Linked DNA regions of Tribolium castaneum. The protein of the gene in region 1 purifies or fractionates together with the protein of each later gene. This does not show direct contact. Links are inferred from orthologs where the notes say so. Each region holds a gene or a part of one and is shown in the gene's direction. Other genes may lie near its edges.

Evidence for each region.
Region 2: the proteins of Cip4 (region 1) and cdc42 homolog purify together in Drosophila melanogaster (affinity purification with western blotting; 4 studies listed by BioGRID). This does not show direct contact. The link is inferred for Tribolium castaneum from reciprocal best matches to the Drosophila melanogaster genes Cip4 and Cdc42.

The regions. Positions count from the first base shown.
Region 1 is NC_087400.1:8,759,098-8,766,487, forward strand, and holds part of Cip4 (cdc42-interacting protein 4 homolog), read left to right. Parts: intron 1-3,709; coding exon 3,710-3,992; intron 3,993-7,390.
Region 2 is NC_087398.1:3,192,095-3,199,800, forward strand, and holds cdc42 homolog, read left to right. Parts: upstream 1-2,891; 5' UTR 2,892-3,183; intron 3,184-3,447; 5' UTR 3,448-3,459; coding exon 3,460-3,524; intron 3,525-3,572; coding exon 3,573-3,795; intron 3,796-4,412; coding exon 4,413-4,700; 3' UTR 4,701-5,027; downstream 5,028-7,706. Other genes in the region: mnd (Y+L amino acid transporter 2), read left to right, coding at 1,375-1,864, 1,920-2,244, 2,297-2,692; protein FAM76A, read right to left, coding at 5,346-5,582, 5,631-5,874, 5,920-6,056, 6,110-6,388, 6,443-6,526. UniProt on the Drosophila melanogaster protein: Regulates mbt kinase activity and is also required to recruit mbt to adherens junctions. Together with mbt and Frl, regulates photoreceptor cell morphogenesis. Together with Frl, has a role in the neuronal development of mushroom bodies.

The DNA.
Region 1 (7,390 bases):
TGCACAACTTTGTCCTAATTTAACCAAATTTGTGTCTCTTATAATAACTGAGATCATCTCCATGGTGGAGCTCGAAAAACAGACACCATGTATTTTTTTTAAAACGCTATACAGGCTGGTCCATCCCAGCTCCCGTCTTCTGCAGCTCAATTATTTGCAAATTTGGAGTTTTTGTATTTTCTAGATATCATTTAAACTTTAGGACACATTTCAAGAATTTTCTTTTTATATTTTTGATTATACGGTGTCTCAAAAAAAGTATGACGTAATAATATTTTTTTTTTGGTACACGCTTCCTAAAATGGTTACTTTGTATGCAACACTTCTGCAAAATAGTTTTAGCAGACTTATCTCATTAAGAACTCGGCTCCTTTGTAGCCTCCTCCTTAATTCGATTCGTCCGCTATAATTCTATTTTGCGGACTTGTTACATAACTATTATAATAACATGCTATAATTTTTTAGTGCTCATTAGGATGCCTTTCTAGCTACTTACATGTCTGTAAAGTTTTTTTTAAATCAGTTAAAAGATTTGTGTTAATAAAAAATAACAAAAACCAAAAAAATCGGTTTTACTCCTTTAATTTCAAGATTTAATAAAAAGTAGAAACTGTGCTTTTTTATAAATTATAAGTACGTACGTGTTAACCGATTTATTAATTAAGATTGATTGATAAGAATTATTACAGGGTGTTTACAATTTATTTCCTTTTTTTTAATTTCAGAGTTTTTTATTTTGCCTATTTCAAATGGCAACCTCTGTTCATTTTTATATCATTCGATGCAGAATTAAAAAAGGAAAATTTTTTCTTATTACAATTTTTGACTCATTCAGAGTTATTTGTTAAAAACTTGTTTTGTCAACTATTTTACTGACAAATTTAATAAATAAAAGAAATCTTTCGTTGTAGATTCAAAACATTTTTTGTTATCACAACCCTATTACAAATATGTCGAATTGTGTTGGGAGTTTGTTAGGGTGGTAATTTGAAAAACGTTTGTTTTCTAATTCCCCATCGAATAGTATAAAAAGTGGTATAAAAGTAAACAGGCGTTGTCTTTATTTAACATGAACCTAGTAATAAAGTCATCAAAAAAGGACTGTTTCTACTTTTTATTAATTTTTAAAACTAGAGGTGTTACGTATGAAACCGATTTTTTTTGGTTTTTATTTTTTGTTTTGAAAAAAATACTTAAGGGACTTAGCTAGAAGAAAAAACTTAGTTATTTCAAAACTATAAAAACGCCAACGTCGCAATTAACCAAATTATTTTCTTTAATAAAATTGATGAAATTGTAAAATAGTTATTAACGGTTAGATCTCTGATTGAAAGTGTAAATTACATTAGATATTATTTTTTTGAAGTGCATGAATGATTTATAACAGCTAATTTAGAGAGAAAATGCAACGTGTTTTTATAGTTTGGAAACAGCTAATAACAAGCTAAGAAGCTATTAAAAATATTTATTATTTTGACATAATACTTTTTTGGGACACTCTGTACAATCGAGTATTTTTCTAAAATACGTCTCAGAGTATAAATAATGTCTACAAAATATTAGAAATACAACTTTACTAATAACAGTAATAACTGAGCTACAGAAGATGAGAGCTGTGCTGGACCATCCTGTATACACTTACAGTATTTGGTAATCCGAAGGCAATCATTGCAATTTATTAATGACGGGCTTTTTTGTAACTTATAAAGATATCATCGAAATAATAACGATTTTTGTTATAGAGGCAATTTTGTATCTGATTAACATTATTGATCGAATAATAACGAGGACGTTATTGCTTCAATCGCTAAAATAACGTTAGGCTTTCAATGCACAGATAACATAACGATTTGTCACCATCTATCGCAGAACTTTAAAAATTTGCCATCAAGTCCAACACTCTTGCAGTTATATCACAATAAAAAATGAAATAAAAAACGATAAGATGTTTTATTTAAAAAAAAAATCAGAAGTCTCAATCACATTGTTTAATAATAATAATAATAATAACAATAATAATAATAATAAATTTTTATATGTACTAATGTTATATAGAGTGTCTCAGCTAAAACTTTCGAGCTTAATATTTCAGTTATTTGTTAACGGATTGTTATAAAATTTAGAATGCACATATTTTAGGAGGTGGTCTTTCAATTAGGGGCAAAAAATGACTTCAAGTTAAAAAATGAAATTTTAAAACACATTTCTTTTATTTAAAATTAAGCCAAATTACCGTTGGATCATTAAAACCCGAAAAATAAATGTCCACACAAAAAATTAACCAAATCGCTCGCCTGATCCAAGAAAAAAATTAAATTTTGTTGTTGAAAACTTAATCCAAATTTTGATAGTAATTTGGACAGTCACCTTTTGAAACAATTTATGAAGCATTTCTATGCGGCATTTTGTGTACCACTGAAAAAAACTATCAAAAGTATGCGCTGTCAGAAAAGTAAAATTGTTTTAATTTGGTGAAATTATTTTAAAAACCAACAACAGTGGCTGAAATTTCTGTGTTGTTGAAAAAGGAATCAATGTTCGCTATGGAAAGTGTCGTTGGACTTTTTGTGAAATGTTATGTATGAAATTTAAAGTTCAAAGAATCGTCAATAATTTGAAGACACAAGAAGCGTACTTAAACTAGAGTCCTCGAGTGAGGACAAAACACGTCACTGGAAACGAAGCAATAGTTGGGGCTGTAACTCAAGCTTTTAAAGAGAATACAATCAGCAGTGTACGAAACATTTCCAAAGTCCTGAATGTTCAAGTGTCTAGAATTTTTCAGTTGTTGTTCAGTCTTTTAGTTCTTTTTGAAAGAATTAAAGCATCCAGTACCAAAAGTAAGTCAAAAATATTGTTTTTTAACTTTGTATGGGCGAGAGGTAATTGTGAAATGTCCCTTGCGTGACAGTTACGTTTCTGCGAGTAGGATTGACCAAAATTCAATGGTAGTGCTCATTTGTCTCATAGAGATCTACGATTTTGCATCTGTACCCACGTTTAACAGTTTGTTTCTCATTTTTCTCGCGTAACAGACGTCTTCCACGAACGAGTTTTTTCTGACAGGATTTTTCACTGACGATAATTTTTTTAATATAAGTCTTAAAAGGCTTAACATTTTAAAAAGGCATGTAAAAATTACGTTTTTAAGACTCGAGTTGTTGCATTAATTTGATTTTAATATTTATCTTCTAAAATATCTGTATTTTAAATTTCATAAAAATCCGTTGACAAATATCTGAGATATCAGGATCGAAAGTCTTAGGTAAGACACCTTGTATATGCTGTTTCAAAACTATAATTTAAAAACGTCAACGTCGCATTATTTTCTTTAACAAGATTGATGAAATTGTAAAATAGTTGTTAACGGTTAGATCTCTGATTGAAAGTGCAAATTACATTAGATATTATTTTTTTGATGTGAATGAATAATTTATAATAGCTAATTTTGAGAGAAAATGCGACGTTGGCGTTTTTATAGTTTTGAAACAGCTAATACACTACTATTACTGGGAAGTATAGTACATCTGCTGAAAATTCGCGTTCTTCTTCTGAACACATCACTTCTATCTAATTCAGGAACTCCTGACAGCCCTGAGACAATTATTATCCCAGTAAGTTGAAGAAGTCTGATAGATGTTCTAACATAGCGATTTTCGTTTAAATAACAATGTTAAAATAACTATCTAAGCAAAATAATTCGATTCAGGTCAGCTCAATGAGTGCAGCCACAGACTGGATAAGCTCCAAGGCGAATTGAAGAGGTATCAGAGTTATCTGGATGATGCTATCAAGGGAATCCAATCGGGTCAGAATAACTCTTTGACGAATTCGCCTCGATTGGTGAATGGGTCGAGACATCACCGAAATTCGGGAGGAAGTGCTGCCGAAGAGGAATCACTCAGCAGGTCTGCAAGTGACAGTAGCGTCACTAACCCTACTATCAATCATAATAAGCAGTCCGCACCGGGCACGCCTCAGCTTAATCATGGGTGGGTGTTGGTTAATAATCTGTATATAAGATAATATGCTTCAGCTTTTCTGCATTTATTTTACGAAATTAAACCCAGAAATTTTTAAATCTTGGCAAATTCACGTTGTATTGCGCAAAATTTGCAAGTTATATTCGAGCTACAAATAATGCGTCCGAGGCTAAGCCGAGGGATGCACTACTTTACAATATGTAACACGCAACTTTTGTTATTGCTTTTGCTTTTTTTTACGAGAACTTGTTTATAATGCAACTTTGCAATGATAAATCGATCAAATCTGTGATATTTGATTTTCCTTTTGTAGCAAGAACTTTGGTTGTTGTTAAAAGTAAAAAGTGTTGCTCCTGCAATGAAAATAAATGTTTGTTTCACAATATTTGCAAAACAAAGTATCTTAATATCTACGACTTATTTTTCTATAAATATATCTTGATGATGAAAAATGATAATAGAATTGCACACAATGAAATGTTTATTCCAAGCATGTCATATACAATTTCACGTCATTTTGTATATATTTTAACGAGAACTTCACTTTAGGAAATTAACAAAAAAAATCGCTCAATCAGTTACGATAATTAAGCCATTAGAACTCAAAATGGGGCCTATTTCATGTTTGTTATTTGTTATAAGACAAATCTTGTTAAGATGATTTTTTTTTATTAATATATAGATTTGATGAGTAACTTGCATTGTACTATTATTAATTTGTCTCATGGTGCTTGATTTAATGTAAATAGTGTTGAATTTTTTGGGTTCTTACAGTTTTAACTAACTTCTTCATAATCAATTCTGTCTGTTTATCTTCACTAAGGCTGAAAATACACTAGAAAATATTAACTTGTGAAAAAAAAAACTTCTATGACATTTTTAAAAAATAACAATAACAAGTAATAAAATTGCATAGAAATTTCCCATACATGTTTGCTTTTAAATTTAACTGCGTAACACTATGTGTATGGGATAAAATAATAAAGCATTTTTTATGCTAAGTTTTTACTTGTTTAGCGAATTTTATTTTAATGTGTTACTCTTAAAGTAATTTTCATTTCAATTTTAGATATTTGTAACTGACTTTTAATATGTTGAAAACTCAAGTCTTTAATTTTTTTCATTTTGTATTTTTTAAACGAAATATATGAATATTTTTACTAAAGCTGTTAGAAAACTATGATATTTTATCATGCGATTACATAATAACTATTATTATTCAAATATTAGTTGTAACTTAGATGAATAAATGCATTTTAATAATAATAACTAATAGCTCAAATTTTTTAATTTTAAAAATTATTTATTTGATGCATATGTGTAAATAATTGCTTATTTTGTTCTTTGCTGTGTTTTCTGTCATTGATTAAAATTTTCTGTGGAAATAGTCAAAATGAGCTCACCATTGAGCAATGATTTAATTATTATCTTGCAGATTTTTCCAAAATTGCTACTAGTCATTGTAAAAGATTTTTCTCTAAACCAATAATTTATAACAGCTAATTTTAAGAAAAAATGCGACGTTGGCGTTTTTGTAGTTTCGAAACAACTAATATCTTATTCTAGTTGTTGTTCCTAAACAACAATTGTAAATATGCGACGCGTTGAAAAAATCTTAGAAAAAATCTCAGTTCAAATTTCTTAGAAGGAGACCCTCTCAGGAATTTGTATTCTTTATTTTCTAATCTCTAATCGCCTATGTTACTGCTAATAATTTAGGAATGTATGAAAGGTTTCTTAAACCCTTCAAGATAACGTGATAATTATCTTCTGAAAAGCCGATTTTATATCTGGAATGGGATCCACTTTCTACAGGGTGCTCAAAAACTGGCGCACCAACTCAGTGGTACGTTGTTGAGAAGCATGTGTAGATCACGGGAAAAATCTTGAAAAAATTCCTAGTCATATTTTAAAGAATCTGGAGCTACAAACTTATTTTATTAACTTCTTCAGTTTTCATTATTTTTTAATGCTTTTATGTTTCACACTAAGCAATCGTTCCCTAACACAACGATGAATAACTATTTTTAAATTTCCCATCAGACTTTGGCAGTTTTTTTAATTTAAAAAAATTAAAATTCATCCAAAAAATCAGAATGTGTAGATGTGCCAACACTGGGAATTATTTCCTAGGAAACCGTTTCAAAAATAATTTATTTTTATTGTTGCTCAAATTCTATTGCGATTATGACTGTTAGACAACGTGCCACATATTTAAATTTCGTTATTTGTGAATAACTTTAATGCAAAGAATTTTTTTACTATTTTTACCTTTATATGTAAGCAATTCTTTACCACACTCCATTGAGTTGGTGCGCCGGTTTTTGAGCACCCGGTATATTATTCGTTTACAAAATTTAACTTTTCGACTGTTGCCGAAAATTTAAAATGTTGATTCTACACACTATTGGAACTTAATTTTCAAATCTGACATCCAAATTTAACTCAGCCCGAGTTTGAGAAGCGATTTTACAAAGATAACAAACACTTTCGTTTGCTTTTTGGTGGAATAACTAAGACTGAATAAATGATACAAAAATTGCATTTCGGTTTGGAACAGGTTGAAAATACGAGTATACTCTTGGACTTTCTTGGATTTCAAAAACTCAAAAAAAAAAATCTGAAGCAACAGTTTCATTGTGAATTAGTGTTTACTGATGTTTTTTCTTTAATATCAAAATTATTAAAAACTATCTTAATTTATTATTATGTAATACTAATCTAATATTGTTCAGTAATCGAACAAATCCCCCTGAAAATGTGAAAGTATTTGTTTGCATTTTTGTAACTGAAGTTATCAGCCCCTTTTTATAAAGTCACAGCACTAAATATTTTCAGGATTTCATGTCTCAGAATAGCTAGCTACCTGGCGTTATAAATCAACATCGGCCATCTGATGTTGTTGTAATGTTGGTTGCATAGTTACAATTTCTTTTTTATGTAAATATGCAAAAAATACTTGATTTATAAATATAGTGGCTCAGAGGCGGAGTGAAGTTTTACAATGGTCAAATAATGAGATCACTCCTGACTAAATATTGTCAACCATTTTTGAGGAAAAGTGTTATAAAGTTTTAAAGAAATTAAGCGTTTTTCATTAAAATTAATCACTTTATGGAACAATTACTACCATAGCGGATTAAAGAATGTCGTTCTTTATATGCTACAGAGCAGATAATTTTTTCAAAGAGTAAAATACACTTATGACGTTTTAAATATTTGTAATTTGTGTACACGTTGGTGAGTAAAATAATACACAAAACCGTTTTTTTTACAATTGGATGATGTTCCTAGGTTTACTTATTACCTCACAGATCAGTTCTTATCTTGATTTAAAAAGTTCAAGTAGTATGAAAAAATATAGTATTACATGTAAGTCATATACAAGACCTATACAAAAAAATATT
Region 2 (7,706 bases), on another chromosome or scaffold:
TTCCATTTTAGATTTTTACAACAAATAAATCGTAAATCAAAATTTTTCCCAGCAAGATTTTTTCGGAGTTTTTAAGGAAAATATTTTCCTGAATGCTCTTAATACCACAAAAACATGATAACGTTATTGTTCTTTTCTTTTGTTTATTTACACTTATCTAATGACTGATGATTCACCTATTTATAGAATAATTCAATGGACTACATGCGCGTAATTCTGTAATCTTCATTTGTGTATAAATTACTGTATAGTGTCTCATTACCGTAATTTTCTAGATAAGACTTTAGTTCGTAGTTCCTCATGCCGCTACAAAGCTGATAAACACTATTCTAATGAATATAAAATTGTAAAATTCGTTTTTTCTTTATTCTAAGTCTCCTACAATAATATACCAAACTGGAGTATTTTGTAAATCGTTATTACATCACTTGTTCTCAAAAATTATGGCTCAAAACTTTTCGTTTGTTGTTTACCTACACTTATCTCTCTGATACGAGCAATAATTTAACTTATTTGTCGTTAACCCACCTCAAACCAATTTATTCTCGATTTTTTATTTAATAATAAGAAATGTTGGGCGAAATAATTTATTTTATTTGAAAGACATTTAAACCCACTGTAAGTGTGGAAATCACACCGTGGGAGTAATTTTCGCGCTATATCTCGGCTTAAAAATTGCAATGTAAACGTGTAGAGACCGTAAAAACGATTTGTATATCGTATAGGTAATATGTACACCATGTGTTTAGATATCTCTTTAACGATAAGGTGATATCAACAACACAATTATGCATAGCAGTTCGATGCACTTAATTTTCATTACCATGAAAAATAAAAAAGGTACAAGCCGTTACAATTAAATAACATTTGCGTTTTATTTGCGTAAGCATATTATTTTTTATGGAAGGAAAATTAAAATTGGTGTAACGGCCACTTATTCCACAACAATTCTCATCAATATTTCTTGAATTAGCTGTTATCGAAAAATAACGCTTTGTGAACAATTTCGTGTTTGTGTGTTTGGTTGTAATAAACTAATAAAGCACTGACAAGTGTCATCAACTCATCACACCGCCAAGGTCTTTGGCGTGGAATGGTTACGATCACTAAGAAAAAATTTAAAAAACTGCCCTTGAGAATAATTTTGATTCAGATGCGTTCCTTTTAATTTTTTCTATTAGAGGGTTCTAGGAACCACTGTGGTGATTGTGTCGATTCAAATAGCAATCCCAACAATAGAATAATCGTCTTTGAGTAAACCACATCTCTTTGTTAGACAAGTAGTTCTTTTCTTATTTGATTGTAAAAAGACACAAATTGACCTTCAAAATTTATTCGGCACTATAATTACATTTTATTTTTCTCAAATTCTAGGCACAATGATACCGAAATCGGGGGGCGACTACGCCTACATCAGCGAGGCTTTCGGGCCGTTGCCCGCCTTCCTCTACCTCTGGGTGGCCCTTTTCATCCTGGTCCCGACCGGAAACGCCATCACGGCCATAACCTTCGCCCAGTACATCCTCCAACCGCTTTGGGGCGCCTGTAACCCTCCGTACGAAGCCGTGCGATTACTGGCAGCCGCTGCCGTTTGTCTACTAACTCTGATTAATTGCTACAACGTCAAGTGGGTGACACGGGTCCAAGACATCTTCACCGCCACCAAAATCTTCGCCCTGTGCATTATCGTGGCAGCTGGAGCGTACTACTTATGCATTGGTCACGTCGAGCATTTCAGGGACCCCATGGAAGGGACCAACTGGCAGCCCGGGTACATTGCCTTGGCCTTTTATTCCGGCCTGTTCTCCTACTCGGGCTGGAATTACCTCAACTATGTTACCGAAGAACTGAAAGATCCCTACAAGTGGGTTTTATTATCCCTAACACAGCTATGTTTATTATCATTGTTTTTGTTCCAGGAACCTTCCTCGCGCAATTTGTATATCGATGCCAGTGGTCACCGTCATTTACGTTGTGACAAACCTTGCGTACTTTGTTGTCTTGAGCAGGGATGATATTCTGGCGTCAGATGCAGTTGCTGTTACTTTTGGTGATAAGTTACTGGGCGCGTTTTCGTTTTTCATTCCGTTTTTCGTGGCTTGTTCCACGTTTGGTTCGTTAAACGGTGCTATTTTTGCATCGTCACGCCTTTTCTTCGTGGGGGCTCGTGCTGGACACTTGCCACGAGCTATCGCACTCATTGATGTGAAAAGACTGACCCCTGTACCATCTCTAATTTTTATGGTAACCATAATTCCGTAATAAAACACTAATTTTACATTAATTGTATTTACAGTGCATCATTACGCTAGCCCTTGTAATGATTGAAGATGTGTACGTTCTTATTAACTACGTTTCGTTCGTTGAGGCCCTTTTTATCACGATAAGTGTGACGGGGCTGCTGTATATGAGGTGGAAGAGGCCCGATATGCACCGGCCGATTAAAATCAGTTTTATTCTTCCTGTAATATTTTTGTTAATTTGTGGCTTCCTTGTCATTTTTCCCTGTTATGTTAGTCCCCTGGAGGTAGGGGTAGGTTTAGGTTTCATTTTTTGCGGAATTCCTGTTTATTTAGTTACGATCGCTTGGAAGAATAAACCAGATTGGTTGAATAAAATTTTCAACGAGTTTAACAACGGCTGCGCCAAACTCTTCCTGTGTGTTACGGAATACGAAGACAAGGAGTCCTAAAGTTAGACATATGATATGTAAAAATGATCTAAATAGTATTAATTGTTTTCGAATGCTTTGACACAAGAAATATTTATTTGTATATTACTATTCATTAAACATGTTTTGTAAGATGTTTTTTTCCATAAATTAAATTCAAAAAAAGGACAGTTCCTCCAACCACACCGCGATAAAATCCCAATTGAACTAACCTAAATCGATGGTGGCGCTCTCAATGAGACAACTTTTATCAAAATTAAATAGAATCCTCTCGTAATCATCGACAATTTTTCCGTTTATTAAACTAGTTCAAAAATTCGGGTTCGGGAAGTCCTTTTCCGCCCCGTATTAATTTTTCCCAGTTTTTAACGTGACAGTTGACTTGTGCGCACTCTATGGTCATTCGTCAGTTGGTGTGATTTGTGGTGTTTTAGGATAAGCCCAACCCAAAAATTCTAGGAATATAAAAATAAAGGTTTATTGTACATTTATAGGACGTTCAAGCTGAATAGGTAATCCCCCTAATCTCGTTTTTACTAGCGTTAAAATAGCTTAGTGGTATCAACTGGTTGAAAAAATGACGCCAACAACTCAAAATGGCAGATCATTATGATTGATATCCTTATTCCTGGAACAATTCGGGCGTTTGTGTTAATTTGCTGCTTTTTGAACGCCGCTCGTGACTTAAAACCGTTCCTAGCCTCGTGGAGAGCGAAGGAACGCCATTGTCAATTCTCGGAAGTGTTCCGTGTCCTAATAATTAATTGTTGTTACAGCAAGGACGAAGAATGCAAACAATTAAATGTGTGGTGGTGGGTGACGGCGCAGTGGGTAAAACCTGCCTCCTGATAAGGTAACAGCTCCTGTTTGGTCTGTTTGAGGTGGTAATGGTTTGTTTCAGTTACACTACTAACAAATTCCCATCGGAATATGTGCCCACAGTCTTTGATAACTATGCGGTCACTGTCATGATAGGGGGCGAGCCCTACACATTGGGGCTGTTCGATACTGCAGGACAAGAAGATTACGATCGATTGCGACCTCTTAGTTATCCCCAGACTGACGTTTTCTTAGTGTGCTTTTCTGTAGTGAGTCCGTCCTCGTTTGAAAATGTTAAGGAAAAAGTAAGTCACTTGAGTATGAGCCTCTTGTAACTCAATCGAAGTCCCACGTGTTTCTGCCAGAGCCGGTTCTAAAGCACGTGCTTTTTAGAACTTAAATAAACCGGAAAAATATCCGTACTTTCAATCTAAAGTATGACAAACATATCACTGTATAAATCATAACTAAATAAATAAAAACAAGCGAACAGTAGTGAACAAATAGAATATAAAAAAACAAGTTTGTTAAGACAAGTTTTAAGGCAATTTTTGTAAAGCCCTGGGCTATTTTAAAAAATGTGTGCTACCATATAACTATAGGTCGTTATCCAACGAGCGTATGCGAGTGCATAGACACCCGAGAAAAAGGTAAAGTAAATTGTAAACAAAATTTGATGAAACAATCTCGTTTTGTTAACTGGAGAACCACTTCCTCTAACAACCACAAAGATAAGTTTAAATGGCTTTTTTCTCACACGTTTTTTCCACGATTCTCATTTTGCTATTTAAATTATCATCGTATCATTAGTTAAATATATGTTTTTGAAGTTATTTTTTTAATTAATAAACTGGGAAGTATTGGAGCACTGATGCTCGTTAGTTTTTCCAACGATGTTAAGAAATGCTCGCTTTGCTTTCAGTGGGTCCCCGAAATAACTCATCATTGTCAGAAGACGCCGTTCCTGTTAGTCGGAACGCAGGTCGATTTACGCGATGATGGTGCTACGATTGAAAAGTTGGCGAAAAACAAACAGAAGCCGATATCAGTGGAACAGGGAGAAAAGTTAGCTAAAGAATTAAAAGCGGTCAAATATGTCGAGTGTTCGGCTTTAACGCAAAAAGGTCTGAAAAATGTTTTCGATGAAGCTATTCTAGCCGCGTTGGAACCACCAGAACCAATTAAACGTAAAAAGTGTGTTATTTTGTAATCAGTAATTCAACCCGATTGGAATACTACAATTTTTATACTAGTTAAGGACAAAATTATATATTTATTTTATTTTTTTTTTGTTAACAGTTTAAATATTAAAAACAATTGTATGGTATATAACTTCTTCCATTTATTGAAGCTCAAACGACACTCGAGATCATTACTTCTTCTTATGTAAAGGCTTTTAGGAACAAGTCAGTATTACATCCAAATGGCTTCAAGGACTGCGAATTTACCACTTTCGTAACTTTTGTGTTTTTCTAACATTTTGTTATGTTCTTTCGGCAATAATTTGCATAACGTAAATAAATCATTTATTATATAAGACTGTTGTTTGGCTGAGAAACCTACCACCAGATTTTAATAAAACTAGTTTATTCAATTAATTAAGACTCACATGGTCGACATATACATAATAACAGACGTAAATTAAATATGTATGTGTGTGCACAAACGGATATATAGTGCGATTCCAAAGGGGCGTTTGAATTTACATTAGCCAATAAGGGCCGTTTACTGTCACCGACCCATAAAATATTAAAATTTCCGTAATAAATAACCGAAGAATAAAATTGACTATCAGCCGACCCCGAATCGTTAAACCGCACTATACATTTTTACGAACAGTTATTTAAAAAACCGTTTACTGAAGGCTGGGACTGTCGGTGCCACTGCCACTGTTGTTCGAATTTTCGGCCGCTGAAGCGCTAACAAACTTATTTTTCTTGGCGCTTTTCGACAAACTCGCCACCTCCTTCAAGAGACTGGTGATGCGCTTATTCAGCGCCTCAATCTTGTCGTCGCATTCCTTCTGGCAATTTTTCATCTTGGTTCTCAGTTCGGATTCCGTAGTGAAGTGCTTCGCCTTCAGTTCGGTTATCTAAAATCACACTACAGAAACAAGCCCCCACAAAATACGACCCCAAACCATTTTATCTTTATTCAGTAACTGAGTATCTTTCAAACTGAGCTGTTTTTGCAACGTGGCGATTTTTTCCTTCAACTGAGTCATTGCGACCACGTGGTCGGAACTGTTGGGGTCAAGTTCGGCCCGAATCAAGCCGGGGCTAGCGTTGTTGCGCGACACCTTCGTGGGTATGCCGTTGTCGTTGTCCAGTGCTGGGAGCTTTGTTACGTCGACGCGATGCGGCCGCTTGTTGTGACCGCGTAATCTGGGGGAAAAATTTATTTCGCGAATTTGCAACTCGAAGGCTTACTTTCCCTCCTTGTGCTTGGATTTGTGTAATTGTGATATTTTCATGTGGGCTCGCCTTTCGGCGTCGCCTTGCTTTGTTTTGGCTAGCGCTCGCTTGAAAGATAACGTGCACAGCCAACACAGAAGCTTTCCGTCGACCTAGGAAACACAATACCCAGTTTAATCTGAATTTTTTCAATTCGAAAATATACCTTTTTATCGTCGTCGTGGCGGTCGAACGCGCACTTCTGCTTGCACTGTTCGCAGTTGACTGGGGGTCCATACTTAATCTCGGAGTTAGTACATCTTTGACACTTATTTCCTATGAAAGCAGCGATAATATTGCAGTATTCGCAAGCGGTGGGCTTTCCATATGCCTTAACGTTCTGTTCACACTTTTTACAAATTGTGCTAGTGCTTCCCTTGGAAGTCTGTTGGAATTCCGAGCGGCAGTAGGTGCACTTCACGACAGGAAATGCCCCTCGACACTCCTAAAGGGGGAAAATGCCCACAATCAAATGACTTGACCCTCCAAACTGACTTACTTTACACAGTTGTTGTCCCGCGGACAACTCCTCGAACGGATGTCGGGAGAAACAACGAGAACAGGCAAACAATGGTGCACTCATTGTTGTGGTGGAAACCTAAAACACCTAGAGACAACGCGTTTCTGGTTGTTAGGAGTGGGTTACTTCAGGTTGTTACTAACCTTCCCATCAATGAGGTAACCCGATAAGATGACCCTTTGTTGGTTTCTTGGGCCTAATAACTGCGACTAGACAAAAATAATTCGGTTGATATCAAGTACATGTAAATGATTGACAAGTACAAACTCCACAAACATACCTTGGACAGGTTATTAACATTATTTCATTTTATTTGCGTTTGCCGCTTATTTAAGGAGAGAATCGGCTCGTAATCACAATTTCTATCACTGCACTTTGCACAAAAATACGAACAATACGCAAAAAATGGAAAATAATTTGCTACAAATGCCTGTCTGTGCTGCCACCCGTCCAATTCGAAGAAAATTTCTAGTGGCACCTGGTGAAATGTGTCGGTACCAGCAACAAGGCGCTACATTTGAATACAACTTTTGGTTTTGGTCGTTGTATGGTTTCTTCTGCACTACTTTGTAAATGATTGGTGATACTTTGTGGCTAAACACAAAAAAAGGAAATTAATTTGACACTCACAATCGTAATATGACGATTGTAAGGCAATGAACTATCTAAAAATTAACAAATAGGGAGAAAAAATCAAATAAAATTGCCCGGCTGTTATTTAAAAAAAAATGTCCACTGCTCTACTGAATTAAATCACCACTTACGTGGCAACAATTACAAATACGTTTTGTTACTAAGATCTCTGTACGAAAAAAACAGTGGCGTCCATTATTATTATTTTTAGTTGCACCAGAAAAATTTGTAGCAATTCTTTAATACGCTTTCAGTTTTTCGGGGCCGGTTTATAGAAGGCTCAATTAAAATTAATTGCATTGTTAAAAGTTAACAACGCGAATAGACCAATTAAATTGGTTCAGCTTGGTCACGTGATCAACAGTTAATCACGCGTTTAATTGCGGATTAAATTAATGACGCTTCTATTTCAGCTCAGTTTTAAAAAATCCATATCACGTACTCATGTGTGTGGCACACTGTCACACAGAAACGCAATATCAAATCTTCACTCTATATTTAAATGTGGTAGAAGTTGATACTAAAAAATCTTTATCAGTGTTTTAACTGTAAACACTGTGCAAACTGTTCGCAAAAAAGGCACATCTTAACACATTCCTTAATTTATTGG